Linked DNA regions of Macaca fascicularis. The main gene of each other region encodes a partner of the protein of the gene in region 7 in a complex. Links are inferred from orthologs where the notes say so. Each region holds a gene or a part of one and is shown on either strand. Other genes may lie near its edges. The genes, in order: VIPR1, GPR174, CCKAR, TAAR1, HTR6, GPR4 and GNAS.

Region 1 (3,500 bases), on a different chromosome or scaffold from region 7:
GTACCCACCCATCAATCCATTCGTGCATCCACCCACCTATCTACCTACCTGCCCCTCTGCCCATCATCTGTCCAATCTTCCTTACTTTACCCATTTATTCTGCTGCCTACTTAGCCATCCACCAACCTGCCCATCCACACCCCCACCCCACCCACTCATTCATCTAATGCCAATTTGTATTGAAGGTAGCTGGAAGGTATGAGGGAGAATTCTTGCCTGAGTTTGCAAGAGTCTGCTGAGTGTGGTGGGGTGGAGGGCTGTGGACTGTGGAGTGGGGCCCAGATGGAAGTGTGGAGGGAGACTGGGACTGAGAAGAGGGTAGGAGATGAGGAAGTAGAAATGAAGAAGAGAAGAGGGGAGAGTTGGCCATTCCTCCTGGGGTTCAGAGGACCTAGTGGAAGAATGGTTTTCTCAGGCAGACAAGGACCATGAAGGAGTCAGGGAGACCCATGAGTAGGGCAATCACGGGCCTCTGGGTGGCCCTGTTGGCATGACTGGAAGGTATTCTGGGCTTTCTGTCCCCTCCCAGAAAGTCCCCCATTTCAGATCAAGCCTAGATGTCTGTGAGCCAGGGCTTAAAGCCACCCTCCACCAGGAAACTGTCTGGCTTCCACTTCCTCCTGTACCCAGAACATTGGTTCCCACCCTTCCTTCCTGTACCCTTGGTTTGAGAGATCCTCAGAGAGAAGCCTCCCCTCCCCTAATGCCCGCACCACTCCCTTTGGTTGGAAAGTCCTTCCTCAGGTCTCACTTCAGTCCCTCCAGTTACAGGAGTTCTTGCCTTCCCATCTTCCCCCCATTTGCTTTTGGAGAATAACTCAGCTCTTTTTTTTTTTTTTTTTTTTTTCTTTTTTTGAGATGGAGTCTTGCTCTGTCGCCCAGGCTGGAGTGCAATGACGTGATCTCGGCTCATTGCAATCTCGGCTAATTTTTTTGTATTTGTAGTAGAGGCAAGGTTTCACCATGTTGGTCAGGCTGGTCTTGAACTCCTGACCTCGTGATCTGCCTGCCTTGGCCTCCAGAAGTGCTGGGATTACAGGCATGAGCCATCACGCCCGGCCATAGCTCAGCTCTTTACCAGGACAGTTATCTGTGCTTCCTTCTAGTCTCAGAAAAGCTTTGCAGTAATGAATCAGGAAGCCAGTCTCCATAATTATCCTTAACATGTGCACAGGAGGCAGCAGGTTCCTCCTCAGGTCCCGTGGCTCGCACTGCTCATGTCTGACTTGGCTTCTGGGACAGAACCTCTGAGAAGCTCTGGGAGTGGCCAAGGTGGGTCCCCTAGATTTTCTCTGCCCCTTGTTGAAATGCCTGAGATTCCAGTATGATCATTTCACTCTTTGGGGAGAAGGTACTGCTGACCCCTGATATAATGCACTGCCTCTGGGGTCATGCATGAAGCAAGGAGATACTGACCACAAGGAATGAGTGGGGGCTGGGCTGGTCTCAAGCTCTCTGTCAAAGCTTGAGGTACTCAGAGAGGGTCCCTCAGAATCCCTCGGAGATGGCCTCCTTAGTGACTGGCAATGAATTCCTTAGATGCTCCTTTTACCTCTCTTCCTTAGGAAGGCCCAGAACCAGCTTGATGTCAGGATCAGAACAAAAGAGGAGGAATGCATATGTTTGGACCCACTCCAGATGGCACGGGGATGGGGGGAGTAGGAAAAGTGGCATGGTGAACACAGCCCTTGCTATGCAGGTGACAGAGGGCAGAGTTGGAAGGAATGGAAGTCCTTGCACAGATGGGGACACTGAGGCTGTAAGTTCCCCAAGGCCACATAGGAAGTTAGCAACAGGTGGTACAGGGGCTCTGGGCTGTGGCCATGACGTGTCCCATTTCCCATCTGCTTTTCTTACTGGCGGGGGCGGGTCCGTGAGCTCCCAGATGGGTGAGCAACATCTTCTGTTGCCAGAGGGGAGTGTGATTTGAGGAGTTGCCAGGTGGGGTTGGGTGGGGGTTGGGCCATCCTTGGATTGAGGGGTGGGATGGGAGGGAAGAGGAAGGAGGGAGAGGGAGAAAGAGGGGGAGAAGAGGAGATTACGGTGGCTAAAGATAAGGGCGAAACTGAGGGAGGTGGGCCAGGGCCAGGGTCCTCACCGAGCCCTCGGAGCACCGGTCCGACTCCCCGCTGTCGAAGAGGGCCAAGTCTTTGATGAAGACAGCAGCAGCCCTCAGGATGAAGGATATGAAGAGGTGCATGTGGATGTAGTTCCGCGTGCAGTGGAGCTTCCTGCATGGGGTGGGCAGATCTGGGAGGCCAAAGGGGCCTTGGATCCCCACCCCAGCCAATGCTGTCCCATGCTCTGAGCAAGGGTGGGGCAGGGGAGCATGTGTTCTCCAGAGGGCAGGCCCTGCCTCGAAGGGGGTCCCATCCAGAACTACGAGCCCCACCCCCGGTACCCCATCCTCCTGTGCGGCTGGGCTCCCAAGTGCCTCAGCCTCGTGTGTGACCCCAGAAACCTCATTCCTGTGTGCAGACCCCACCCTCTGGTGCCCTGTCCCCAAGTGCAGGGCTATCCTAGGGGAGACTAGGTTGCAACACATGGAACAGCTCAGTCATCTGCCTTTCCCAAGGGAAGCTGGCCTGGCAGGAGCTGGGGACTGTGTGCTGCTGGGGGGCAACGGTGGAGGGGTCGGGGCATGCCTGCACCACGCTGGGCTCCACTGTGGGAGGGACACTTGCCAGGTTTCCTTTGAGGCCTGTCACTTGGGCTGGGCCTCACCTGAACAGGCTCAGGATAGCCGTGGCGACCAGAAGGGTGGCGAGGGACAGGCCGTAACCGATGGTGTAGCCGGTCTTCACAGAACCGTAGAACATGGTCTGCTGCTGTTGGAGGGACAGGGAGAGGCTCTTGGGTGGTGGGGTGGGAGGCTCATCTAGGGGGTATTGGCAGGGGTGGGGTGCCCTACACACTCTGCCTGCCCACCCCTGCCTCAGCAAATGAGCAGGCTGAGGTCTGAGGCTCCCAAGAGCAGCTGAGCGGAGCTCTTCAATCCCCTGACCCCTGACGCCCTGGTTTCCACAGACAGGGCAGGACTGTGTCTTAGGGTGGGGTGGGGGTTGAATGTACTCCCTCTCTTTGCATCTTTATGAGGGACAAGTTGGTGAGGGAGAGAATGAAGACCTTGCACGTCCCTTTTGTTAATTTCATGTCTCCAGCCATGTGCCCGGGTTCCCTTCTGTGCCATCTCTGAGCTGGGCACCCTAGGGGCCAGGTCTGCTTGCCCTTCAGACACCCCTTGAGGCCCTGTCTTTGTGCAGGGAGGAGAGGCATGCAGAGGTTGCAGGATGTCAAAGAAGACACTGGCACTAATGTCCCATTTTGGGCTCTTGGGAATTGGGGTTGGTGGGATGAGGGCAGTCTGGCCTTTCTTGGGGAGGAGGGCAAAGCTAGACCCCAAGGGTGTCTTGCTTGGTCCCCTCTCCTGATGCCCTCCCCATGGACGCAGGTGCAGTGCAGCACAACAGCCACTAGGTAAGCCCCTCCTTCCTCTCCGC
Region 2 (3,945 bases), on a different chromosome or scaffold from region 7:
GATCTCTTCAGTTTTCCTTTATATCCTGTTCTCAACATGTACTCCTACCTTTACAGTTCTAAACTCATTCATACCAACATTTTCAAGTAAGTGTATTTCTAGGAGAATGAGAATTTTAAAATCAAGACCTAAGGAAGAAATAAATTCTTGCCTCTAGAATATTGGTGTTTCAGGCAAAGTGGAGGTGATATTTTGAGGTGGAGAGCCCTCCAGGTATTCCCTATAATGTACCACACAGGTATGTCCTGGCATGAGACTGGACCTGCAATAACATATTTTCTTCTTCCATGGCCTATGTGAAAAGTCCCTTTACTCTGATCTAGAGATATTACCCAAGTCATGGGTATTACCTCAAGTTGCTTCCTGTTCATCTACCTTTGGGAGTGGGGAAGGGGGGTGTTAAGTGCCTAATACAGTGTGGCACTGGTCTCAGGGGTCTGGAACTCTGTGACTCCTTGGAATACCATCTTCAAGAGCCTGTGGCAATGGGTCTGGGCTGCAGAAAACCAACCTCTTTTCATTGGATCCTGCCTAACTACTAAGAAGAAATGGAGATTTACCTGCATTTCTTGGTAACAGGGACTCTGAGGGCAATGGGAAGTGGGTGGACAGGAAGTGGAAGGTGGATTATAGCTCCAGATTCCTCTTAAGGAGTGCGGTATTTAATTCAATGTGAGAATTTTAGAGGTTTGTGTATTCAAGAATGCCCTAGGCAGAGATCATGCTCACCTTTACCTCTTCTATTGGCAGTTTTCTAGGGAACATTCTTGAGAATTTTCGCTTTGGTAACTGAATGCAAGTGAGAGGCTGTGAGAAAGGATCACCCTAAGACTGCGGTGGTCCACTATCTATGGAAGCAACTCGAGGGCTCCTAGCTTCAGCAAAGGACTCAATAGGCAAATAGGCTGTGTGTTATCATGAGCTCAAAGCTGAGTGCAACCACAGAAGACAATGAACTGTGGCCCTAGAAATAGAAAGAAGAATTTCTTTTCCTAAGTGTGAAGCTTTGCAGGCTCTACATGCAGCCTGTAGTGTAGCCCTGCATCATTAACGGGGGTGGGCGGGGGCGGAGAGAATGAAAGCAAAAGAGCACGCTGGCTGCCCCCTGGAAAACGGAAATGTTCAGTGTACACAGAGAGTGGCTTGCATATTTCACTCTGACATCTTACTACTATGTTCAACATGATAGTGGTTAGATATTCCTGATAATTTTATTTTATATTTTTCCTTTTGCTTTCATAATTTTTCTTTTGGCTTTCTTTTATTTTGTATTATTTTTACTTTTATTTATTTTCTTCCCTCCCTCCTTCTCTCCCGTATTCACTCCTTCCTTCCTTCCTTCCTTCCTTCCTTCCTTCCTTCCTTCCTCTCCTTTCCTTTTCTTTTCTTTTCTTTTCTTTTCTTTTCTTTTCTTTTCTTTTCTTTTCTTTTCTTTTCTTTTCTTTCTTTCTTTCTTTCTTTCTTTCTTTCTTTCTTTCTTTCTTTCTTTCTTTGGCTAGTGAAGGAGAATTGGATTGGTCATTTTCAGAACAGGGAGCTTAAATTGATGCACAGATCAGTAGCATCCTTGTTGGAGTGGGCGTCACATGAATTCTTTGGAGATCTCTGAAGAAAACAGAAAGAAACTGAAATGGTAGGTTCTAATTATTTATGCATAATTAGCTCTCATCTGTGCATTTTTCCCTTAATATCTAGAACTGGACTCTTCACACAAAGATCTGTATAACTTGTCAAGTCTAAGGATGGTTATGGATATAATGAACTTGGACCATCCTTAAATGTCATTTCCTTGGTATTTGAAGAAACAAAAACAAGTGTATGATGGGCTGCCAGAGGAGGGAGGCAACTTTAAACTTGGGAAAATTTAAGTTTGACATGGAGATATTTTTAATAATGTGTTTAGCTCAATTGATATTGAATAAAATAGTCCTATGAACATTTGCAATTTAACCCATTTGTATTAAGTAGAGTTGCTTACATAAAGGTGCAGGATAATTTTTATCTACTCTTTGCTATAACTCTTTGGGGGTGCTATTTTTATCTGCTGCATAATTAAACTGGTTAACTTTGTGTCCTTTTCAAAATGAATGATTATTTGAAAAATGAGAGATATAATATTTCAGGACCTTAGCTAATATAAATGCATGTTCCTATCAGCTTGTGTAAGTTACTTATTTTCACTGTAAAAGTTAATTGTTGTAATTAATGATAGATATAAAGATTCTGCTTTCAAACACGTTTAAGAAAACGTGTTTATAATGAGAGAAAGGGGAAATAAGAAAGATAACAGGCACAGTTGCTCTGTTTTTCATAGATAAGCTCTATCTACGAAAGTAAGTAATCAGCACATTAAAAAATCAACAACGGTTAAAATGATTTTGAATTTAATTTACATTTCTAGATACTCAAAATTGACTTTGACAAAATGTAAGTGAAATTATTTCCTTGTTTGCATGTTGTCTCCTTTTTGTGCTCCAAGAGGAAATGTTTAGGACGGTGCCTTTGGACTTTAAACCATATGATGACACTATAAATGGTGTGTAACTGCTAGGAACTGCATTCAGAGACTAAAAGAAAAAACTCATGAATTCCTATGTGAGAGAGAGATAGAAATGAGGAGGGATGTGTTACAACATGACCCATGATTAAATCTCAAATAACTTTCCTGCTCCATCCTCTCCTGTCAACAGTAATGTACATGGACTTTATTTTATACTGTTCAAAATTTTTCATAAAAGAAAAAGTTATAATTTTATTCAATAAGCAGAACTATATGCTTTAGAGAGCTTTGGATCATTCAGCAAAGAGTATTTCATTTTTCCTTTAGCTTCTGTAAATATCAGATATAAACACAAAAACATTAAACTTATAGAGAGGATTAAAGTTCTTCCACCCAGGGCAAGATTATACCAGTCACACTAGCAAACATTTGGGTATGCCAAGAAGTTTGTGTTCAAGGAGGATATACTTTTAATTACAGATAATGTGCTTTGCACTTGTGAACACGTGTACTGCTCTACTTTGCTATGTTTGTAATAATATGTGTATGAGATAGGAACTATCTAGTGTATCTATTTTGTTGGGGCCAGATTAATATGATGCCGAATAATGTAAAGATGAATAAACACAAAGTGAGTCATAGACTGCTCCCAATATCTCACTGAATTTCACCCGAAGACCCCTAGGAATGAATGCACTTTATTATGGCCCTTTGTACTAGGTAACTGAAAGGAAGAGGACAAAGAAACACACCTGCATTCTGCTCATAGATACTTTGGCACCAATGAGCTACCCAGAACCAAAAAGGGAAGTAAACTCCTTTTCCTGATTTCCACCCAATCTTGATAAAAGTGGGGCACAGTAGGTACCTCTTCCCTTGCCCATTAAAGTGACTCCCCACCCAAAACCTTCTTTGTATGCTATAGGTCTCAAGAATCAGTCTCCAGATCCCTAGTCAGAGAATAAGAAATTGTCAGAAACAGATTCAGCTCTGGTCACTTTCAGAGCAATGGCAAACATCTGAGACTTTTATGCTTTGGAAAGTAAAGTAGGTTTATAGTGTACATTGTGCAGTTGGAAAAAATGAGACTCATAGAGGTGAAGTGACTGGGTCAAGTACCACTGTGTGTCTGTGACAGAGACAAAGGTAGAATCCAGGTCTCTTATTCATTGGGAATTCATTATTCATTGGGAAATATTAAAAGATTTCATTTTGAGAGCATTCAAGAATCTCTCAATATCAGGCACACTTCAGGTTTCCCCCAAAGGCCCTAATATTGTAACAGACCTTGAGTTGCTGGGCTTTACCACTGTTTCCTTCCAATAATAGGAAAGAGTTTTTCCTACTGTGCTCATAGAAAACAAAACAAAACAAAACAAAACAAACAAACAAAAATCAAAGTGCAAATTGATGCTAGATGCTGTAATACAAGATTAAGAAAGACC
Region 3 (4,199 bases), on a different chromosome or scaffold from region 7:
CCTGTCCCCGCCCCCCAAAAAATCAGTCCCTAATCTGTTTGTATACATCACGTCTCCCTGCTTCACTTCCTTCATAGTACTTACTACCTGAAATAATTCTGTTCATTATTTGCTGACATGATAGAAAAGTGCCTGGCAAATGATTGACTCTCAGTGAAGATGTGCTGAACGCAAGACTTCATGAATGACGAGGAAATCTTACTAACATCTTTTGTAATAAGGACCCAGGTACCTATGTTCAAAAGTACCTCAATCCTTCTAGTTAACAAGGGCAGAGACCACGAGAAATAACACTGTGTTTAGTAGCAACTTAACAACCAGCCAGCAGTTCTATCCACAGACACACACCACCGGGCATGGTTCCAGAACTAAAAAGGCACTAATTGCTTTTCTATAAGGAGGTAGAACACAGTCCCTCCGTGTTCTTTAGGCCTGATGGTCTGCATTATCGGATCTGTTACCGTGTTAATTGTTCCTGTCTCATACAGCCAGTTTGGGCTTTCTTCTGCACATGTCTTGGATGGTGACAGGTTCCTATATAGAGGAGTACTGGGGAAGCCTGTGTGTGTGTGTATGTGTCCGTGCGTGTGTACACATGTGTGTATAAAAGCAGCCACACTCTGAGAATGGTTAACAGGCAACCAGGCTGTCTGTGCTCAGGGCCCTAAGACTGGCCCAGGAAAGGGCCGGGGGGGTCGGGGGTGAAGGTGGAGCGGGCTTCGCTTGCGCTCACTGCCTTTTCCACAACAGGAGTGCAAATGCTTGCCCAGCTGGAGTGAGTGTGGTGAACTCAAGTCGCCTTTAGGAATGGCTGAAAAAGCCCACACCTGGAAATCACTCCCTCCCTGCTCCTCCACGGCAGGTTGCATTTGGGAGACGCTTCAGTCATTAGAGAAATGAGCCGGGAGTGAGCAATTCACCAGCTCTCCAGCACTTGGTGGAAAGCAGCAGGCAAGGATGGATGTGGTTGACAGCCTTCTTGTGAATGGAAGCAACATCACTCCTCCCTGCGAACTCGGGCTCGAAAATGAGACGCTTTTCTGCTTGGATCAGCCTCGTCCCTCCAAAGGTAAGTGTCGGAAGCTGTTATTTTAATCCAGGAAACTACTGAGTTGCGGGAGAAATCAGCAAAGGCAAGGCTGATAAAAAAATATACATAACCAAGTCATTGTGAGACAAGGCTGGATAAAGTCATATGTTCAGAAGTTTGCAGAAGAGATTAACAAGCAGAATAGAGTCAAATATTCTTATTGTCCCCCATGGGAGAGTTGGGCATTCATGAATAGGACTTGAGGGAACAAAAGCAGGGGAGGAAAAGCTGAGTGAAGCAAGAGGGAGTACAAGTGTCAAAGCCTGAACTTACAAGCACAGCAGAAAAGGTGTTGTCACCATGCAGCCGTTTTCTTTTCTTGGGGGGAAACCAGCGTGAAGTGGTTACAGTGAAATCATGCTTAGCAGCCAGGAAAGAAAGTGATCACTGTTCACTTGAGGAGCTTTGTTCTTAAGAAAAAGTGGTTCCCTGAGTGATCCTTTAACAAACCAACCTTCTACAAACAAAATAATTCAGTCTCTGCTTTCCTCAGTTTGTTTCTGCAAAATGTTGTCAGGACAGGAATGGTGGGTCCAGTGATGTACACCCCGGTGAGGGGGGAAATCGGCAGGAAATCACCCTTGGCTTCGGTTTTAGCATTCTGCTCTCATCACCTCCATCCCTCCGTCTTGCTCCTGTTGCTGTCTGCAGAGTGGCAGCCAGCGGTGCAGATTCTCTTGTACTCCTTGATATTCCTGCTCAGCGTGCTGGGAAACACGCTGGTCATCACCGTGCTGATTCGGAACAAGCGGATGCGGACGGTCACCAACATCTTCCTCCTCTCCCTGGCTGTCAGCGATCTCATGCTCTGCCTCTTCTGCATGCCGTTCAACCTCATCCCCAGTCTGCTCAAGGATTTCATCTTCGGGAGCGCCGTCTGCAAGACCACCACCTACTTCATGGGTAAGTTGCTGCTGGTGACTCTTTCTGGAGCTTGCCCCAGACCCCACTCAGCCCCAGACCTTCCCAAACCTCTGACAATCACAGCAGAAGACCTCTGCTGAGGGCTGAATCACAGAACATTAGGCTGTGCACGGCTGTGTGCAAGGACATTGCTGCTGACTTGACGGTCATCCTTATATGTTCCCCGTAAGTCGGTCCCCATCATCCACGTTGGAGGTCAGTTTCTAAGAGTGAAATATATTGATAGGAAAACACAGGGGCAGTTAATTTTGCCTGATTCTATTTGAAGGAAAGAGGGACTTGCTTCCTTCTGTTTGAAGTCAAAAGTGACTTTAAGCTGCTCTATCCCTTTCTGGAAGCTGTTGACTGTGTCCTGAGCTATACCCAACTTGAGTCCTGGCTTCTAGGGAGAGTAAGGATTATGGAGGAGGGTTCTTTGTCATTGTTCCTCTTGTTTTCTTAGGGAACAGGGGCTATTTGAAAACCAGTTCTATCACAGTTCCAGATTCTCTTGCCAGGATTCACTTCTCAGCCTGTTCTCCCCAAAGCTGGGACCATCTCTGGCAAAGGGAGAGAGGTCTCTGCCCCTAGATGAGGAGTTGAATTTGCTCCTGGGGGCTGTGGGGTCGCTAAGCTGACCCTGATTGGCTGAGATATGTAGCTGTTTGCCTATGCCAAACAAAAATGATGATAATGAAAATCACAAGAGCTAAATTTTTTGTGCTTTTATGCACCCCATGTGGTACTAAGTGCTTTGACTTTCATGATCTTACCTTACCTCCCAACCACTCTATGAAGTAAATGCAATGATTCTTCCTTGTCTCATTAAGGAGGAAACAGAGGCACAGAGAGGTTCATAATGTGCCTAAAGCCACACAGATGGTAAGCAACAGAGCTGAGATTTGAGTCCAGATTAGTAGCCACACAGTGGTGAGCATGCTACCTCAGTTTGCCAACTGCTGTGGTTCTCCTGGAGTTGAACAAAGACACATTTCTTGGTCCCCTCTGGGTGCCAGATTGCCTAGTCCCTTGCCCTTTCTGAGAATTAGTTGGGAGAGGGGCAGAGGTGGGAAATAAGCAGGGAGTTATTTTTGTTCTGACCCAAGCCTTGAAGAATATGCAGCAGTGAGCTGGGCTAGGGTAGTCTTCAATGACCGGAAGGCTTTAAAAGTCTTTGTTTTTCCCAGTTGAGGAAGTGGGATTCCGCACTGACAAAATGATGATGAATTTCTGACCCTCGTGCCACCAAAAACCAAGAATGTGTCAATCCGTGTCCAAGTCCTCTGAAAAAAAAAAAAAAAAAAGGACGAAACTTACAAAGGACAAAGATCATTGTTAAATAATGAAGCAATAATAATAACTAGTGCTGTAGACATCCAAGGCCCATCCATATATATCTTATGGTAATACTATTTGGGAACCTTAACCGGAGAATGTGAACCGAGGTTTAAAACGAGTGTTTTCATGGTGGCAAAACATTCTGAGTGCCACAAAGTTGTTCAGTTTGAAATGTTTAATTTTATGTTATGTAAATTTCAACAGCATAAAAACAATTTTATTGGCCAAAAGAAAAGAAACATCATTCTGAAAGTATTTGCAATACCATAATAATTTTGTTGGATTTTTAATTCCAATAATTTAGGTTCTTCTCTTAATTTTGCAGTCTCCTCAATACTAATAATTAACATTGATTAGCTCCTAATTTGTAGCAACAAGAAAAAGAATGCTTGCCTGCCAGTGAGTTTATAGTTACTGAGGATCCATTACACAGAACTGACTCTTAGAGAGTTTTGGGCTATACTCTCGACTCTAAATGTCATCAACTCTTTAGGGTAAAATCCAGTAAAACACAGCAAATCCTATCCCCAGAACATGAGTTTTTAGTTAATGGTTTGGGGGTCATAGACTTCTTTAAGACTCTAAGGAAAGCTAGAGCCAGGCTCCCTAGAAAAATGACGTTTTTGGATATAGTTTCAGAGAATTAGTTTATATCCATAAGAATAATGAGAAACTAAGGACCCCAGTTTCAGGACCTCTGCTCCCAAATTTATATTAATTCGGAGGTTTAAGAAATCTTGGTAAGAGATATTCAGAAGAATTGACAGAATTTATAGCGGAAGGACTCTACAGGGAATTTTAAGGGAATAATAGGACATTTTAATAAGTATGCATATACAAAAATAATAGAAATTTAGCTTTTTGGACA
Region 4 (4,262 bases), on a different chromosome or scaffold from region 7:
CATAAAATTACTGCAAAGTATAGAAAACTCACTAAATGCTTGTTTCCTTTTTAAAATTTGACAGACTGGTCTCACAGGTGAAAAAACTCTTCTGAAACTGAGAGTGGTTAGGGACACTACTTAGTTTGTCTTGCGTATACTAAATTAAAAACATAAAACATAATGTTTTTAAAATGTACTAGAGCAAAACTTGATACAGATCATTCAGACAAAATATATACTCCAGAAACAGACTATAATTTCTGGAAGGATTTAACATATCCTCAGGAGATCCTCAGATTTGTAAACAGAAATTTATATGCAGCAGTGTGCATTCAGTTATGTTTAAAATCATCTGCCTTACCCTAAGTTATTCATGGGCCGAAGGTAAATCCAAATCCCTGGTGATACTCAATCTGAAACAGACCATGTGAAGTTTGTATTCATCAGCTCAATTGCTGATGAATGCTTGTAATTTAGAATGTTTGCCCACTTCCTTTAGAGAATCTTATTTGAAACCATTATTTGTTCCTCTTTTTTATTTTTATATATGCCATCTAAATAGCCATGGTATATCCAGTCTGATTATACCTCTTGTTGGCCCTCATGTTTAGCTACTTTGATGGATGGCTGCTTCTCTTTCTGTGTACTGTGGAGCCCAGCAAAGTAAATTTGTTTAATGCCAGATAGCCTGTGTTTTGAACCCTATCATGCCAGATATGACCTTAAGACATGGTAAAATCCTTCTAGACATTTTCATGACTTCAGTAGCAGGTAAAAAGCAGAAATTTCATTTAATTAATATTATTTTTAGAAAAGTTAGAAACAACTGGAATTGTTAACAATAGGGAATGGTTAAAAATATATTTGTACATCTGTGCAAAGTCACATTATACAGCCACAAAAAGGGATTACTCGTAGCCCAAACCTCAGCAGCATGCATTATATTTAGTTAACAAATGTGCACACATACCCCTGACTCCAAAATAAAAGTTGAAAAGGAAAAATATTAATATAAAATAAAGAATTTTAGATGATATAATCCTTACCAGGAAGTATGCTGTGAGTAACATTTTTAAAATTTCATTTGGTTTGTACATATTTTATTTTCCTTCATTTTTCAAATTTCTCAGACATATGAGAATCAGAAAAACATACTTTAAAAATATGAAACTCAAGATATTTAAGGATTGGAATATATATTAACAATATAAATAAATTATGTGTCAACACTTATTTAGCAGTAACATTTAATGTGTGTACTTTTAGTTGATTTTACTAAAAGACATATACACATATGTGACAAGGACATGTACACATATATGACAAAATCATTCTAATTTGCATCCTCAAATTCAGCCCTATAGTTTCCACCACTGAACAGCTAAGGTACCATAGCAAACTCATGGCAGTTCTTCTAAGGGCAGGAAAAGTTATATACAATGCAGGCCTTTAAATGCTGGAGTTGCAAAGTTCCGATATGCGTGGTAAGAATGGAAAAGATTATACCTCCTATATCCCAAATAGGAAATTACCTATAAGCATCATAATTTAACTCACCAAACATGCTTTGACTCAAGTAACTGATTAAAAAAATCCATGTGGTTGGGGCATGTGGTGGGTTATCTTGTGTTCATAAACATGATCACCAATTTGCAAAACAGTAAAATATAATAATTCTATGAACTCGATTCCAAAAATAATTTACACCTGGATGAATCCTTTTGGAAAATTTTACCAAACAGAATCATCTTCAGTGCTTTTCTAAACCAGGGATAGAAAAATGCATAAACCATTGGATTAAATGTAGAGTTCAAGTAGCCAAACCAAATCAATACATCGTTCAAAGTAGGTGGAATAGTGTAGTGAAGAAAAGGGTCGATGACTGTACAGACAAAGAAAGGGCACCAGCATATTAGGAAAACTCCCATCACAATCCCCAATGTCTTCACAGCTTTCCTTTCTTTGCTTTGTGAAATTCCATTTTTCATTTCCAATCCAATTTGGAGCTTCTGATTGGCATCATTAATTGATCTTGCCTGCTCTTTAGCTATAAGATATATTCTGTAATAGATACATAACATAATAGATCCAGGTATGTAAAAAGAAGTCATAAAGGCCAGTACCCCAGATATTTTGCTAAAGAACACAGAGCAACCTCCTCTGCAGTGAACATGTTTGTAATATATCTCTTCAGCGCCTTTGAAGTTTAGCTCCAGAAAGATCATCCCAAATGCAAAAACAGCAGGGACACTCCAACTAATGAAGATCATCACACAAACAACCAAGATATTGATCTTGGCTTTATATCTCAGTGGGTCACACACAGCATAGTAGCGGTCAATGGAGATGAAAGACAGATGGAAAATGGAGGCTGAGCTCAGCATAATGTCGGTGCTGGTGTGGATTTTACAGAAGACTTCTCCAAAATACCAACAGTGCTCAGCAGATCTCACCATGCTGTAAGGCATGACCAGACACCCCAGAAGAAAGTCCACAGTGGCCATGGAATGAATGAGCCAATTTGTCGGAGTATGAAGTTGCTTGAAGTGTGATATAGAAACAATAACTATCAGATTGCCGACCAATGTGGTCAGAATTATGAGCGCCATTAAACTGTACAGGGAAGCACGGACATCATTTGACCAGTTGTTTTTCACACAGGAAATATTAATTATATTGTGGCAAAAGGGCATGATTCCTGAGGGCTGTCAACCAGTTTACTTTTCCCTTTGTGTGTTGATTAATCTTTTTCCCAAATTTGTAATCAGGTTACAGTTCCTTCTCGTTTTTATTTTTTATTTGCACATACCTATCCCAGAAACCTAGGAGGGAAAAAAAAGAATAAATCATTGGCAGTTTGATTCCTCTCACTTCTAACACGTTTACCTATTACTTCCTGTTGAAGAGCAGTTATTTTGGAAGGAACTTTATTTCCAAGTTCCATTCAATAGTTCAGTACAGCAATTTTTAAAAACACTTTTACCTGGAGCTGGACATTGTTCTAGAAATACAAAGCTAAATTATTACGTTGAACTATATGAAACTTCCACATTTGTAGGTCAGAGAAGATCAAATGATGATTATGATCCACATCTACGGAAACAATCTGTGTCCACACAAAGCCAGTCTAGTGGGGGAGACTTACATTCTAAAGGGTAGAAAGAAATTGCCAGAAAATTTGGAATTAAAATATGTTTATGAAAAAGACAAGAAGTCTTTTAAATGTGCCTCTTGTGCAGAATTAATACCCACTAGTGCCCACTTTTGCACTTGGTCATAGGTAAGTTATATATTTCTTATTTTATAATAATTAATTGTAATAAGAAGCAGCTTACATATATTTATTTGCAGCTTGCAAAGTACTTCTACATATATTCCATGCATTATTTCAGTTACTGTTTTATTTGACACTTATAAGACCAACTTCATTTTTTGTAAGGAAGATATGATGCTTTATTAACCTCATTTTACTGGCAAGAAATTGAAGTTTAATTCACAAAATCATTAAAGCTTGACTATGAGCTGTAGTCTCAATGACTAGCTCAGTTTCTTTGATACCAGTCCAGTCTTTCTCTCCATTGCAGAAAGAACCAACTCGAGGTCAATTTTTAAAAATTAAGCTTTAAATATTCATATAAGAATTTATGGTGTCTTAAAAAATGGCAGCTACTAGTAAAGAATGATATTGTGGTCCCGCTTATTAAGGATTTTTGATATACAGACTAAAGTCTATGGTAAGAAGTGAAGTGGCATGGTACAAAGAGCACTGAGGTGAGAGCCTAGGGAAGCTGAGTTTCCACGTGGGCTGTGGGCAAGGCACACGACATCTTTAGTTTTTAAGTTCTGAAATCCAATCTCACTTTTAAACAGGTAAAAAAAATTATTATGAGTAGGCATCTTCTACTAGGCCTCCTTTTATTGTACTTCACTAAAGAACCTCAAAGTTCCAGGGAACTCAGTTTGAAACTGTCCCTTTTGTTTCTATATAACCCTGTAATTCTGAGCTAAATTCTAGAACTTAGATTCACACATACACATATATGCGCACACACACACACATATAACATATATACAGACATGTACATACATATATATAAAGAGAGAAGGGGGGAGAGACAGAGAGAGAGAGAGGAAGGAAGAAAAAGGAAAGAAAGAAAAGAGAGAGAAAGGAAGAAGGAAGGAAGGAAGGAGGGAGGGGAGAGAAGGAGAGAGGGAGAGAGGGAAGAGGGAGGGAGGGATGGAAGGAAGAAAGAAAAAGAAGGAAGGAAGGAAAGAAGGAA
Region 5 (4,191 bases), on a different chromosome or scaffold from region 7:
GAGGTCACAACCAGGGGAAACAACACCCCAGGCCTCTGCCTGCAGAGACTCTAACCCACCTGGCCTGGGGATTCTCAAATCTGTTCACGCTCTGTTAGACTAGGAGCGCCAACAGCTCAGGGACTTCATCCTTAGTACCCGGCCCCTTTGGCGATCGGGATGGTTTCTGCAGGGAAAGGTTAGCTTCTTGATCAAACTAACGATGAAGAATGCCCAGAATTACTAACCCATTTTACAGCTATGGTAACTGAGGCCCAGAGAGGTGTCAGGCGATTTGTCCAATATTTCCCAACTCCTGGTTCCCCTGAAAGCCTGGTGACCCCCTTGTGAGTGGGCAGGCACCCATTAGGGAGCAGTCCCTGGATAAAGGCAGGTCACAGCCCCCTTCTCCGAGTTCCGCCTGCGCCGCCGCCCCGTGTGGGTTGGGAGGGGCATCTGGGAGTGCGGGGGCTGCCGCAGCCCGGAAGGTGACCCCGCGCAGCTGGGGCGCTCGGATCTTCGGCCCACAGGCCCGGGGTGCTGGGACCCCGCCCGCCTGCAGGGCCAGGGCTCGGCTCTCCCCGCCCACCGGGAGGCGGGACGCACGCTCCGCGGCGCGGAGACCGCGCGCTCCGGGCTGCACCCAGCCGCTCCTCCGCGCGTGAGGGCCCCTCGCGGCGCCTCCCGGGTTCGGGAGACCCGGGCCCGCCGCCCGCCCGGCCCGCGGCCGCCTCTTCCTCTCGCAGCCCCGCGGCGCTTGCCGCAGTCGCAGGCGGCGGAGAAGCCAGAGCGCCCCAGGTACCAGTGCGGGCGGGAGGCGGAGGCGACCCTGCGGCCGGGTGGGGAGGGGGCGCCGCGCGGCCGCTGCCCTCCGCTTCCCGCGGGGCCTGGAGGTCCCGGCGAACCCCCGCGCAGTGTGAGCCCGATCCCGGTGCCTCCGCGCCAGCTGAGACCTGCCTTTCCCCGGGGGGCTTTGCTCCGGCCCCTAGGCCCCCGCCCTGCAGACCCCACCCTGGCACCCCACACGCCCACCGGCCGCGGGGAGTCTGCTCCGGCCCGAGAGCGCCCATTCACCCCCCGCGCCCACCTCCTCGCGCTCCCACTTCCCCGAGCTCTGCCCCGGCCGGACGCCCCTACCCTATCTTGCCGCCCGCCCCCTCCAGGACTCTCTGCTCCCACCCCGGGGCGCCCATCCGACATCTGCTTGACTTCCCGCCGCTTCCTTTAGGGGCCTCGGCTCATCGGGTGCCCCTCCCCAAACTTCCAACCCGTTTGCTCCAGGTGTCCTTGCCCCGTTCCCGAGGGCGCCCAAATAGCCACTCTGCGTCCTCTTGTGGTCGCTGCCCCCTGACCTAGCGCGACCCAGTGCCCCCGCCCATGTCTCCCCACTCGCCTCCCCCGGGGGGCGTGGTGAGTCGCTGTCTGCTCTCGCCGACGGTGCCCGTCCAGCCTGCGCTTCGCCGGGGCCCTCACCTGCCTTCCCACCACCCTATCACGCCCTTACCCTCCACCCCCGGTCCCCATGGTCCCAGAGCCGGGCCCCACCGCCAATAGCACCCCGGCCTGGGGGGCGGGGCCGCCGTCGGCCCCGGGGGGCAGCGGCTGGGTGGCGGCCGCGCTGTGCGTGGTCATCGCGCTGACGGTGGCGGCCAACTCGCTGCTGATCGTGCTCATCTGCACTCAGCCCGCGCTGCGCAACACGTCCAACTTCTTCCTGGTGTCGCTCTTCACGTCCGACCTGATGGTGGGGCTGGTGGTGATGCCGCCGGCCATGCTGAACGCGCTATACGGGCGCTGGGTGCTGGCGCGCGGCCTCTGCCTGCTCTGGACCGCCTTCGACGTAATGTGCTGCAGCGCCTCCATCCTCAACCTCTGCCTCATCAGCCTGGACCGCTACCTGCTCATCCTCTCGCCGCTGCGCTACAAGCTGCGCATGACGCCCCCGCGTGCCTTGGCGCTAGTCCTGGGCGCCTGGAGCCTCGCCGCGCTCGCCTCCTTCCTGCCCCTGCTGCTGGGCTGGCACGAGCTGGGCCACGCACGGCCCCCAGTCCCGGGCCAGTGCCGCCTGCTGGCCAGCCTGCCCTTCGTCCTCGTGGCGTCGGGCCTCACCTTCTTCCTGCCCTCCGGTGCCATATGCTTCACCTACTGCAGGATCCTGCTGGCTGCCCGAAAGCAAGCCGTGCAGGTGGCCTCCCTCACCACCGGCATGGCCAGCCAGGCCTCGGAGACACTGCAGGTACCCGGGGTATGCAGGGAGACCTGGGCTGTGGGATGCAGAGGAATGAGCAGCCCCTGGGAACCCCCTGGGCATCCCCACTTAGCACACATTTGCTCATGGCCCTGCGTGGCAGTTGTGAGCACCCACCTTTCTTCTGAACTCCAGACCCAATGCCTGACCCACCCAGCACAGGATAGCTCCGTCAGGATAGGCGGCAGGCTTCTCCCAGGCACCATGTACAACAGGGAATTTATGGTGGCCCAACTCTCCCCATCTTTGCCTCCCTGGTCTTCCCCATCATGGCAAATGGCACCATTTCGGCATCACATGCCAGGAACTTAGAAATACTTTTCTCCTTCACTCTCATGCCATTCATTAGCGAGACCTATTGGTGCTGCCTCTAAACAGGTGCCATCTCCACTGCCACTTCTTACTGGGGAGGCTGCGTAGACTTCTACTGGCTCCACTGCTTCTGCTGCAGACCCACTACTCTCCATCTTCTGCCTAGAAGCTGGAGCAATTAAAAAAGAAGTGATCATGTCGCTCCCCTGCTTCAGACTTCAGGCTCCCCATTGTGCTCCAGATAAAGAAAACCTGTCTCAGGATCTGGCCTCAGGATCCGGCACTGCCAACCTCTCCAGTGTCACCTCCACTCTCCCTCTCTCTTACTCTACAACAGCCTTGTAGCCTTTCTCATGCTTCTAGAAGGCACTGGGCTTACTTCTGTGCCCAGGTCTTTGCACTTGCTGTTCCCTATGCCTGGAATGTTCTTCCCCCGGCTGCCCTCTTCCCAGGGGACATCTTTGACTACCCTATCTGCAGGCCCATCCACCCTCCCCTGTTATTCTCCATAAGAACAAGTCATAAGAATGACTTGTTCATTCTGCCTCCCTGACTTGAATATAAGCTCCAGGAGGGTCACACATATCAAGGTCAGTTTTTTTGTTTTGTTTTTCTGTTTGTTTTTTTTGAGACGGAGTTTCACTCTGTCGCCCAGGCTGGAGTGCAGTGGTGCGATCTTGGCTCACTGAAACCTCCACCTTGCGGGTTTAAGCTATTCTTCTGCCTCAGCCTCCTGAGTAGCTGGGATTACAGGCACCCACCACCACGCCAGGCTAACTTTTGTATTTTTAGTAGAGACGGGGTTTCACCATATTGGCCAGGCTGGTCTTGAACTCCTGATTCAGGTCAGTTTTGATCCCCACTGTGCATAGTAGGTCCTATCTAATTTCGGTGCCTCAGAATGGGTTAGGTGCTCTTAGCTCAAGGCCTTGCATTGTCTGTAAGTGAGTGCCAGCTCTTGCCATCCAGGCCGCAGTGTACCTGACTCCTATTGTCCACCCTCGGGGAGGGGGTGGGAGTGTAGACCGACCAGGCCTGAGACCCAGTGACTTAGGTCGCAGGTCTTGAGGAAAGTCCAAGCTGGGCTCTTTTGGTGTAGCCTTGGGTGGCGAAAGCTCTAGGAGGGTGAGGGTTGCCTTGGAGGTCACTGGGCACATGGGGACTTGGCAGAGGGGTGAAAGGCTAACACCCTCCTTGGCAGTCCCCCAGACAAGCTTGCCTGTCCCACCCCAGTGGTGAGGCCCAAAGCTACCCCTGCCCATCACCTGGTGGGGACAGGGCCCCACATGGACTGGGAGTCCTGGCTGCGGCCCTGCTCCTTCCCCCATCCATGCTCCCTGCAGAATATTCTTGAGTCTTGGCAGGTGCCTGGGACTCTGATTTGCTTCTTCAGGGATGGGATGGCTGCCCTGGGCCATATACCCTGGGTTCTTGTTTTTTTGTTGTTGTTATTGTTGTTTTTTAAGAGACAGGGTCTTGCTCTATCACCCAGGCTGGAGGGCTGGAATGCAGTGGCGTGATTATAGCTCACTGCAGCCTAGAATTTATCCTGGCTCATTCTAGCCTGGAGAGCTGGAATGCACTGGCACGCTCAAAACTCACTGAACTCTTGGGCTCAAGCGATCCTCCTGTCTCGGCCTCCCAAAGTGCTA
Region 6 (3,903 bases), on a different chromosome or scaffold from region 7:
CCTGAAACCTCAAATCTGTGTTCTCAGAGACTGGTTGCTTAGGGTGGGGCTCAAGTAGGCATTGTTGGGGTGTCCACTCTCTGCAGCCCACAGCAATTATGGTGAGGAGTGTGGGGAGAAGAAGGTCAGAGTGTCCGTGACTCCCTCACTGTTGTCCTCTCTCCCAACAGGCACTGCAAAGTCAGCGGTGAACTGACTTCATCCCAGTCTCTCAGCCCCCACCAGGACCAATCTGGAGTCCCTCCCCTGCCCCCATTCAAATTTCCCTTCTGTCCCCAAACTCATCTCTGATCTAGACCTTACTCACCTGCTTCCTGTTTCCTAAGACTCCTTCCTGCAGTCCCCAGACTGAGCCTTTTGTCTTTGTCCACCCTGTGCCAGACACCTCCTTTTCCAGAACGTTCTCCTTACTAGTGACCTTATCTCTGTTTCTTTCTGGGGTCCTAGGAAATGCCAGCACTCCCATCCGCATTGCCTGGACTTTCCGACACTCCCTAACTGCCCTGTGTCCTATCTCAACACTGTCTCATGTATTTCCTGTGTCTTCTAGAACATCCCCCAGCCATTATTACTTCAGTATGGCTACACATACTTCCTAACTGCCCTGCAAACATCTCCTTCTCACCGTTGCCCAGTGATGCTTTCGTCCCCTCCATAAACACTCCCCGAGACCAATTTTTGTGTCACCCCTATACTCCCTCATTGACACCCTGATTAACTCTATACATAACCTCCTTGACAAATCTCTTTATTAATCTCATCATCCTCCAGACTTCCTTCCTGTCGTAACTCCATTCCTCCTCCAACTTTTCCCTCTCAAGCTCTGCCCTTCCCAGCCCAGCCCAGCCTACCCGACCTCTTCCCTGTAGACTACATCCCACCATGTTCCCCTGAGCCTCCAAGGAAGGGGCTCAGGGGGCCCCATGGCCTCCCGCTCCCCGTGGCCCCACAGCCCCCGTGGGCCAGGGGAAGCGTCCCAGAAGCCGAAGTGCCCACCATGGGCAACCACACGTGGGAGGGCTGCCACGTGGACTCACTTGTGGACCACCTGTTTCCGCCATCCCTCTACATCTTCGTCATCGGTGTGGGGCTGCCCACCAACTGCCTGGCTCTGTGGGCGGCCTACCGCCAGGTGCAACAGCGCAACGAGCTGGGCGTCTACCTGATGAACCTCAGCATCGCCGACCTGCTGTACATCTGCACCCTGCCGCTGTGGGTGGACTACTTCCTGCACCATGACAACTGGATCCACGGCCCCGGGTCCTGCAAGCTCTTCGGGTTCATCTTCTACACCAACATCTACATCAGCATCGCCTTCCTATGCTGCATCTCGGTGGACCGTTACCTGGCCGTGGCCCACCCACTCCGCTTCGCCCGCCTGCGCCGCGTCAAGACCGCCGTGGCCGTGAGCTCCGTGGTCTGGGCCACGGAGCTGGGCGCCAACTCGGCGCCCCTGTTCCATGACGAGCTCTTCCGAGACCGCTACAATCACACCTTCTGCTTTGAGAAGTTCCCCATGGAAGGCTGGGTGGCCTGGATGAACCTCTATCGGGTCTTCGTGGGTTTCCTGTTCCCGTGGGCGCTCATGCTGCTGTCGTACCGGGGCATCCTGCGTGCCGTGCGAGGCAGCGTGTCCACCGAGCGCCAGGAGAAGGCCAAGATCAAGCGGCTGGCCCTCAGCCTCATCGCCATCGTGCTGGTCTGCTTTGCGCCCTATCACGTGCTCTTGCTGTCCCGCAGCGCCATCTACCTGGGCCGTCCCTGGGACTGCGGCTTCGAGGAGCGCGTCTTTTCTGCATACCACAGCTCACTGGCTTTCACCAGCCTCAACTGTGTGGCGGACCCCATCCTCTACTGCCTGGTCAACGAGGGTGCCCGCAGCGACGTGGCCAAGGCTCTGCACAACCTGCTCCGCTTTCTGGCCAGCGACAAGCCCCAGGAGATGGCCAACGCCTCACTCACCCTGGAGACCCCACTCACCTCCAAGAGGAACAGCACAGTCAAGGCCATGACTGGCGGCTGGGTGGCCACTCCGCCCTCCCAGGGGGACCAGGTGCAGCTGAAGATGCTGCCACCAGCACAGTGAACCCCGTGTGGCACAGAACCCCCAGTTTTCCCCTCTCATCCCACAGTCCCTTCTCTCCTGGTCTGGTGTATGCAAATTGTATGGAAAAAGGGCTATGTTAATATAAGAATACAAGAACTTAGGAAGAGTGAGGTTGGTGTGTCGCTGGTCAACTTTTGTGCTCCCAGATGCCATCACAGTTTGGCAGTTGTGGAAGGCCTCCTGGAGGAGGAGATGAGTAAATTTTTTTTTTAGAGACAGGGTCTCGCTGTGTCACCTAGGCTGGAGTGCAGTAGTGCAATCGTGGCTCACTGCAGCTTCCACCTCCTGGGCTCCAGAGATCCACATCAGCCTCCCAAGTAGCTGGGACCACAAATGTGCGCCACCATGCCTGGCTAATTTTTGTACTTTTTGTAGAGACGGAGTCTCACTATGTTTCCCAGGCTGATCTTGAACTCCTGGGCTCAAGAGATCCTCCTGCCTCGGCCTCCCAAAGTGCTTGGATTAGAGATGTGAGCCACCATGTCTGGCCAGATAAATTAAGTCAAACATTTGGTTTCCAGAAAATAAAGACAAATAGAGTAGGTTAGATTTTTTTTTTTTTCCAACAAGTGGATAAAAGTCTGTGACTCAGGGAGAAAGTGGAAGGAGAAATACAGAGGATATAGAATCATCATGTTTGTAAAGCCCCTGGTCATACAGGGGAGAGAACGTAAGACAGCAATTCTAAGTTTCTGGATAAACAGTGATCTCCAAGTCAGGACTGGGGATGAAGAGGGAGAATGTCAGAACTCAAGTGAAGGGCAATCAGGGCAGACTGCCTGGAGGAGTGATGCAGGAAGGTTTGGGAAGAAGGTTTGGGACAAGAGAAAAGGGTATTTATTTTATTTTATTTTATTTTTTGAGACGGAGTCTCGCTCTGTCTCCCAGGCTGGAGTGCAGTGGTGCGATCTCAGCTCACTGCAAGCACCGCCTCCCAGGTTCACACCATTCTCCTGCCTCAGCCTCCCGAGTAGCTGGGACTACAGGTGCCCGCCACCACGCCCGGCTAATTTTTTTGTATTTTTAGTAGAGACGTGGTTTCACCATGTTAGCCAGGATGGTCTCGATCTCCTGACCTCATGATCCACCTGCCTCGGCCTCCCAAAGTGCTGGGATTACAAGCGTGAGTCACTGCACCCGGCTGCGTATTTATTCATTCATTCAACAGAGGTTTATGTAGCACACTGTGCTGGGTGGGGCTGGGATACAGCAATAACTGAGGCAGCCTGGCCTTGCCTTCACAGGGCTCACCATACACAAGTAAATAAAAAATATGTAATGTTTGGAATTGCTAAATGTGAAGGGGACATTTTTCTGTGTAAGGCCAGTTGAGGGGACAGAGGATGACTTGGAGTCTGATCTAAATAAGGAGGGCAGAGGAGGGCTTGTTGCGGTGGCTTTCCAGCAAAGACTTGAAGGATGTGCGGCACTCAGCCCTGTGGCTGTCGTGGGAAGAGCATTTCAGGCAGAGAGAACTGCAGGTGCAAGGGCCCTGGGGTTAGAGAGTGTCTGAATTTTCGGCTGGGCATGGTGGCTTACGCCTATAATCCCAGCACTTTGAGGGCCAAGGCTGGCGGATTACCTGAGGTCAGGAGTTTGAGACCATCTGGTCAACATAGTGAAACCTTGTCTCTACTAAAATACAAAAATAAAAAATTAACTGAGCATGGTGGTGGGTGCCTGTAATCCCAGCTACTCAGGAGGCTGAGGCAGGAGAATCGCTAGAACCCAGGAGGCAGAGGTTGCAGTGAGCTGAGATTGTGCCCCTGTACTCCAGCCTAAGCAACAAGAGCAAA
Region 7 (4,133 bases):
CTAGCAAGCTCTTCCCGCCTTTGGCTGGATCCCCTCCTCCCACTGTCGAGCCCCGAGCCCCAGCAGGCAGCCCTGCCACCCCCTACCCAGTTCCCCGGCGGCCCTGCTGCCCGCAGGCAGAGTCCGCCGCATTACCTAGAAGCAGCAGGCGGTGCGTACACATGTAGCCCATCTTTTCGTCCTGGAGTTGTTTGTCGATGAGCTTGCTGCGTTTCTTCTCTGCGCGCTTCTGGGCCCGCTTCTCCAGGGCTTCTTTGCGCATCTGTCTGCGCTTCTCCACCAGGGGTACCTTCTTGACCTTGGAGGAGTGCGAGGCTTTGGGCTGGGGACTCTCAGATCGACCGAAGCAGCCCCCGAAGGCTTGCATGAGGAAGTTGCGGAGTAAGTTGCGCTGGGGCTTTCGGCGGCGGCGATTTCGCCGATGCTGAAACCAGCGGATGCATCCGAAGGTCCCATCGTCGGACTCGTCTCCGCTGGAGTCATCGTCGCTGCTGGCCGCCCCTTCATCGTAGTACACGCGGCGGCCGCAGCTGCGCTCGGACTTGCCCCGCCAGGCAGACGCGCGAGCAGGCCGCGGAGTAGGCGGATCGGCAGCCTGGATCTCGGGGCTGGGGGGTCTAAGGTGATGGAGCTTGCGTCTGGCCCCGGAGGCAGGGGCTGCCGAGGCCGCCCGGGCGGCTTGGGCTGCCCGGGTGGCAGAAGCGGCTGGGGCAGTGGGAGCCCCGGCGTCAGGCGCAGCTGGGGCGACATGGGCTGCCCGGGTCTCAGCAGCCGCAGGGGCCGCGGGAACCTCAGGGGCTGCCCCGGCATCTGGATCGGCTGGGGCGTCAGGGGCTGCCCCGGCATCTGGAACCGCTGGGGCGTCAGGGGCCGCCCCGGAGTCGGGATCGGCCGGGGCGTCAGGGGCCGCCCCGGAGTCGGGATCGGCCGGGGCGTCAGGGGCCGCCCCGGAGTCGGGATCGGCCGGGGCGTCAGGGGCCGCCCCGGAGTCGGGATCGGCCGGGGCGGCAGGGGCTGCCCCGGAGTCGGGATCTTCTGGGGCTGCCCCGGAGTCGGGATCCGCTGGGGCTGCACGGGCTGCCCCGGTGGCGGTATCCGTTGAAGCTGCCCCGGCGGCAGGGGATCCGTACCCCGGAGAGGGGACTTTTCCTCCCTCCGCGGCATCAGCGGCTGTGCTTCCTTCCATCTCTGCTGCTTCCTCCTCAACTGGGGGTCTCTCTGCTCGCTCTCTCTTATCTGGGGCTCCGGAGACCTCGATGGGCGGGCCGTCAAGCGCGATTGGGGGGCTGTCCATGTTGACGGGAGCGTCGTCGACCCCAGCGGGGGCGCTGCCAATCTCGAGCGGGGGTCCGGAGATCTCCAACGGGGGGCCGCTGCCCGTGAAGTTAGGAGGAGGTCTGACAGCCTCTCGGGATGGGCTGCCGATGGCGCCTGGGACCCAGAGGGGAGGCGCGTTCGCGGCGGGAGTGAGGCGGACCGCACTCGAGGCCGCGACTGCCGCGAACTGGCCACCGCGGTCAACTTGTGCGATAACTCGGGAAAGCCCCGGGGGTGGGCTGTCGTCCCCAGATCCTTCTCCATCAAGCTCAAATGGCATAGTCTCCTCAGGGGGAGGGCTGTAGCCTCCTCTGGAGCCAGTCTTTGGAGGCCTGAGGGCTTGGGGCTCCTCGGGAGGAGCTCCGGGGACCCCTGCAGCACCTGGGCCTCCTGGAGCAAGGTCTGGGACCTGTAAGAGAGGTTGACTGCAGCCTGTCTTGGCAGGCTGGTCAAACTCAAAGGGCATAGCTTCTTCTGGTGGAGGGCTGTATCCTCCCAGGCCTGGTCTGGCACCACTGAAGGCTCCAGGTTCCACGAATGCTGGGCCGAAGGCCTCAAGGCCTGCATGGGCCCCACTGGGGGATCCAGGCTGCTCCAGTGTAGGCCAGAAGCCTCCCAAGCTGGGCTGTTCGACCTCGAAGGGCATTGCTTCCTCAGGAGGTGGGCTGTAGCTTCCATGGGCTCCAGCTTCCCTGAATGCCGGGTTGAGGACCTGAAAGTTGGGCCTGGAGACCTCTGGGGGTCCACAGGCCTCGCTGTCATTCTTGATGGGGATGGGCTCGTTGTGAGGCGGTTCGGTCTCCATCTCTTCGGCTGGGCTAGGCCCAGCACCGGGGGCAGCTGCCCCTGGGGCCTCCAAAGATGGTTGATCGGGCTGTTCCCCGATTTCAGGGGGGATATCGCGTTGTCCTGACATATTATTGCCGTGGAGGCAGTTGCGCACGCCCATAACAGGGTGGCGGCCTCTCAAAATAAGTTTGGGGCTCCGTAAGACGGAGCACCCAACCGAACTAGGGTGAAAAAATTATTATTGTTATTTTTAAATCAAAGTACCAGCTGGAAAGTTCACCAGCCTCACTTTCCAACCCTTGTGAGGTTGGGGGGCTTCAAGGCCTGGAACCCTAGACTGAGGCTGAAGCAACTCAATTGTTGCTGGTGGAGTCTTGGCTCCTTTCTGGCCACTTTTTATCCCCTCAGTATGCCCCCCAGCCCCTCTTCCTTGGTCTGTCCTTATGCCCTCCTCTCTCTTTCTTTCTCCTCCAGGCCAGTCCCGCCTGCTTGGATCTGACGAGCGTGCCGATTCGGTCCGAAAATCGCCAGTAGCGCTCTCTCGCTGCCACCAGAGGACGCCGGTTCCAGTGCCGAGCTGGCTCCAGCTCCAGAATCCTGCTCCTCGCGCCGCGGCCCGGGACTTTGGGTAAGGGGGCTGACGAGCGCAGGCCTCGCAGGGACGTTTTGGCTCCTTCCACTCCTCTCCCTGACTGATTTGGAATCTTTCTCCTCGCTTCTCCCCTGGCCAGAGAAAGCTCTCCTGCGTTGCGGGACACGTGACGCAAGACGTGGGCCTCGGGACGCTGGAGTACAGGAGCTGAAATCCTCCCTCCCCAACCCAACCGACTCCTCGGGGGAGGGGGGACTGAAGAAGGGTTTCATCACCCCAGGATACCCCTGAAACACTGAGTCATAGCCCCCAGCCTCCAGGCAGCTCCGGATCTCAAGCCCCTAGTCCAGAGCGCAAGGCTTTTGGTGCCTGAGAAGGGGCACAGGCATGCGTGGGGATGCGACAGGTGGTCGTGAGCCCACCAGAGAAGCAGAGAGAGACGAGGGAGAGGGGATGCCGAGTATGCGAGCACACAATTTGTTTTTTAAATGCCTTGGGTGTACTTTTTACTGCTTTTGTTTGTTGCTTGCTGAGGTTGGCTCCGGTAAAGCACTTTAACAGCCCCCACCCTCATCACACTCTAGGGGTCTCCGCAGTGGCCCACGCAGCGCAAGCAGGGTGCTCCCTTGTTTATGTGGATGGTGACGCAGGGGAATAAGAAGGTCTCGGGTGCGTACCACCAAGAGCAAAGCCCCCTAGGCAGTAGCTGCGGTGGCACCGATGGAGGGGTGGGGGGCGTGCTGCGCAGAGGGGGACCCCACAAAGCGGCCGCAGAGTTTCGCAGGTCCTGCGGTTCTAGGGAAGGGTTAAAGGGGATTTTGGTTGGCGTTTATGGCCGGTTTAGGGTGATTTCGAGAGTGGACAACGCTGTGGGCACTGAACCCACAGATAAACACCATGCCGCGCGGCAACCGCAGCTGAGGTGCGCTGCTCGCTGCTTCGGGTGCCGGCCGCAGCACCGGTCAGTCTGCTCCTTTAGCCCCACTACAGCCTGTCTCCAGCACCCTTCCAGCCCCTCTCCTCTCGCTATGGGTATCTTAGGGTAGTCGCTTTAGTTTTCCACTGCTAGAGCCTACTGAGGCGGCACTGAGCCCGCCAACCGGCCACAAACCCGGCGGTTGCCCGCGCAGCTGCGCTCCCGCTACCATGCTGCGGTGGGCTCAGAGCTAGCCAAAGGTAAATACCCAAACCACCTGGTGACCTTGGTGTGTGCACATGCTATGCTCTGGTCTGGGGTCTGCAGAGGGATTTGAGCCCGGGAGAAAAGCTGCTGTTAGGGGGTCACGTAAAACCCGGCAGGTGCGCATCAGGTCGGTCTCACCAGTAAGACAGATTGGTGAACCACGTCTAGGCACAGAGCAGCTGGGCAGGAGGCAGGGGGTCACCTGACCTGCAGAGTCCTGCGGGAGGAGAGGCTGGATGAGCGTTACACAGG

The links.
Region 1: the proteins of GNAS (region 7) and VIPR1 are in contact, whole or in part, in a cryo-EM structure (PDB 8E3Z), measured with the Homo sapiens proteins. The link is inferred for Macaca fascicularis from reciprocal best matches to the Homo sapiens genes GNAS and VIPR1. Residues at the interface, in NP_000507.1 of Homo sapiens: Gln35, His41, Val217, Phe219, Asp323, Arg342, Asp343, Leu346, Tyr358, Pro361, Phe376, Cys379, Arg380, Asp381, Ile383, Gln384, Arg385, His387, Leu388, Gln390, Tyr391, Glu392, Leu393, Leu394; in NP_004615.2 of Homo sapiens: Arg174, His178, Tyr239, Leu240, Leu243, Leu244, Ala245, Val246, Ser247, Phe248, Arg252, Leu319, Lys322, Leu323, Pro326, Asp327, Ile328, Arg329, Lys330, Ser342, Leu345, Leu346, Leu391, Asn392, Gly393.
Region 2: the proteins of GNAS (region 7) and GPR174 are in contact, whole or in part, in a cryo-EM structure (PDB 8IZB), measured with the Homo sapiens proteins. The link is inferred for Macaca fascicularis from reciprocal best matches to the Homo sapiens genes GNAS and GPR174. Residues at the interface, in NP_000507.1 of Homo sapiens: Lys34, Gln35, Arg38, Ala39, His41, Val217, Phe219, Thr350, Asp354, Gly355, Tyr358, Cys359, Tyr360, Phe376, Cys379, Arg380, Asp381, Ile383, Gln384, Arg385, His387, Leu388, Arg389, Gln390, Tyr391, Glu392, Leu393, Leu394; in NP_115942.1 of Homo sapiens: Phe44, Tyr47, Arg53, Ala54, Val55, Ile56, Phe57, Met58, Ile112, Arg115, Arg116, Phe119, Leu120, Met121, Pro123, Phe124, Phe126, His127, Asp128, Cys129, Gln131, Ser211, Leu212, Asp214, Met218, Gln220, Asp221, Leu222, Glu224, Lys225.
Region 3: the proteins of GNAS (region 7) and CCKAR are in contact, whole or in part, in a cryo-EM structure (PDB 7XOV), measured with the Homo sapiens proteins. The link is inferred for Macaca fascicularis from reciprocal best matches to the Homo sapiens genes GNAS and CCKAR. Residues at the interface, in NP_000507.1 of Homo sapiens: Gln31, Gln35, Arg38, Ala39, His41, Asp215, Val217, Phe219, Asp354, Gly355, Tyr358, Phe376, Cys379, Arg380, Ile383, Gln384, Arg385, His387, Leu388, Gln390, Tyr391, Glu392, Leu393, Leu394; in NP_000721.1 of Homo sapiens: Thr76, Glu138, Arg139, Ala142, Ile143, Cys144, Pro146, Leu147, Gln148, Ser149, Arg150, Val151, Gln153, Thr154, Lys155, Glu235, Leu236, Ser301, Ala303, Asn304, Ala307, Lys308, Arg310, Val311, Met314, Phe372, Met373, Asn374, Lys375, Arg376.
Region 4: the proteins of GNAS (region 7) and TAAR1 are in contact, whole or in part, in a cryo-EM structure (PDB 8W88), measured with the Homo sapiens proteins. The link is inferred for Macaca fascicularis from reciprocal best matches to the Homo sapiens genes GNAS and TAAR1. Residues at the interface, in NP_000507.1 of Homo sapiens: Gln35, Arg38, Ala39, His41, Asp215, Val217, Phe219, Thr350, Tyr358, Phe376, Cys379, Arg380, Asp381, Ile383, Gln384, Arg385, His387, Leu388, Gln390, Tyr391, Glu392, Leu393; in NP_612200.1 of Homo sapiens: Thr58, Asp120, Arg121, Ala124, Val125, Cys126, Pro128, Leu129, Arg130, Tyr131, Lys132, Ala133, Asn136, Ile213, Ile216, Ala217, Gln220, Leu223, Ile224, Asn228, Lys248, Ala249, Thr252, Phe307, Tyr308, Pro309, Trp310.
Region 5: the proteins of GNAS (region 7) and HTR6 are in contact, whole or in part, in a cryo-EM structure (PDB 7YS6), measured with the Homo sapiens proteins. The link is inferred for Macaca fascicularis from reciprocal best matches to the Homo sapiens genes GNAS and HTR6. Residues at the interface, in NP_000507.1 of Homo sapiens: Arg38, Ala39, His41, Asp215, Lys216, Val217, Phe219, Leu346, Thr350, Tyr358, Cys359, Phe376, Arg380, Asp381, Ile383, Gln384, Arg385, His387, Leu388, Arg389, Gln390, Tyr391, Glu392, Leu393, Leu394; in NP_000862.1 of Homo sapiens: Arg124, Leu127, Ile128, Pro131, Leu132, Arg133, Lys135, Leu136, Ile211, Gln218, Gln221, Val222, Leu225, Thr226, Lys265, Ala266, Thr269, Leu270, Phe323, Met324, Arg325, Asp326, Lys328.
Region 6: the proteins of GNAS (region 7) and GPR4 are in contact, whole or in part, in a cryo-EM structure (PDB 8Z9O), measured with the Homo sapiens proteins. The link is inferred for Macaca fascicularis from reciprocal best matches to the Homo sapiens genes GNAS and GPR4. Residues at the interface, in NP_000507.1 of Homo sapiens: Gln31, Lys34, Gln35, Arg38, His41, Asp215, Lys216, Val217, Tyr358, Tyr360, Phe376, Arg380, Asp381, Ile383, Gln384, Arg385, His387, Leu388, Gln390, Tyr391, Glu392, Leu393, Leu394; in NP_005273.1 of Homo sapiens: Gln45, Arg49, Asn50, Leu52, Asp114, Arg115, Ala118, Val119, Ala120, His121, Pro122, Leu123, Arg124, Arg129, Arg130, Lys132, Tyr201, Ile204, Ala207, Val208, Gly210, Ser211, Val212, Ser213, Thr214, Glu218, Lys221, Ile222, Leu225, Asn290.

What each region holds. Positions count from the first base shown.
Region 1 is NC_088376.1:105,375,611-105,379,110, reverse strand, and holds part of VIPR1 (vasoactive intestinal polypeptide receptor 1), read right to left. Parts: intron 2,829-3,500; coding exon 2,725-2,828; intron 2,232-2,724; coding exon 2,099-2,231; intron 1,535-2,098; exon of another isoform or gene 1,417-1,534; intron 1-1,416. UniProt on the Homo sapiens protein: G protein-coupled receptor activated by the neuropeptides vasoactive intestinal peptide (VIP) and pituitary adenylate cyclase-activating polypeptide (ADCYAP1/PACAP).
Region 2 is NC_088395.1:85,831,960-85,835,904, forward strand, and holds the start of GPR174 (probable G-protein coupled receptor 174), read left to right. Parts: upstream 1-1,145; 5' UTR 1,146-1,633; intron 1,634-3,945. UniProt on the Homo sapiens protein: G-protein-coupled receptor of lysophosphatidylserine (LysoPS) that plays different roles in immune response. Plays a negative role in regulatory T-cell accumulation and homeostasis.
Region 3 is NC_088379.1:25,621,653-25,625,851, reverse strand, and holds the start of CCKAR (cholecystokinin receptor type A), read left to right. Parts: upstream 1-1,399; 5' UTR 1,400-1,614; coding exon 1,615-1,993; intron 1,994-4,199. UniProt on the Homo sapiens protein: Receptor for cholecystokinin. Mediates pancreatic growth and enzyme secretion, smooth muscle contraction of the gall bladder and stomach. Has a 1000-fold higher affinity for CCK rather than for gastrin.
Region 4 is NC_088378.1:36,598,587-36,602,848, forward strand, and holds the start of TAAR1 (trace amine-associated receptor 1), read right to left. Parts: upstream 2,801-4,262; 5' UTR 2,676-2,800; coding exon 1,659-2,675; 3' UTR 1-1,658. UniProt on the Homo sapiens protein: Intracellular G-protein coupled receptor for trace amines, which recognizes endogenous amine-containing metabolites such as beta-phenylethylamine (beta-PEA), 3-iodothyronamine (T1AM), isoamylamine (IAA), cadaverine (CAD), cyclohexylamine (CHA), p-tyramine (p-TYR), trimethylamine (TMA), octopamine and tryptamine.
Region 5 is NC_088375.1:215,423,211-215,427,401, reverse strand, and holds the start of HTR6 (5-hydroxytryptamine receptor 6), read left to right. Parts: upstream 1-1,391; 5' UTR 1,392-1,501; coding exon 1,502-2,224; intron 2,225-4,191. UniProt on the Homo sapiens protein: G-protein coupled receptor for 5-hydroxytryptamine (serotonin), a biogenic hormone that functions as a neurotransmitter, a hormone and a mitogen. Also has a high affinity for tricyclic psychotropic drugs.
Region 6 is NC_088393.1:53,656,564-53,660,466, reverse strand, and holds the end of GPR4 (G-protein coupled receptor 4), read left to right. Parts: intron 1-170; 5' UTR 171-997; coding exon 998-2,086; 3' UTR 2,087-3,403; downstream 3,404-3,903. UniProt on the Homo sapiens protein: Proton-sensing G-protein coupled receptor activated by extracellular pH, which is required to monitor pH changes and generate adaptive reactions. Activated by an optimal pH of 6.8-7.2.
Region 7 is NC_088384.1:114,906,198-114,910,330, reverse strand, and holds the start of GNAS (guanine nucleotide-binding protein G(s) subunit alpha isoforms XLas), read right to left. Parts: upstream 2,801-4,133; 5' UTR 2,267-2,800; coding exon 136-2,266; intron 1-135. UniProt on the Homo sapiens protein: Guanine nucleotide-binding proteins (G proteins) function as transducers in numerous signaling pathways controlled by G protein-coupled receptors (GPCRs).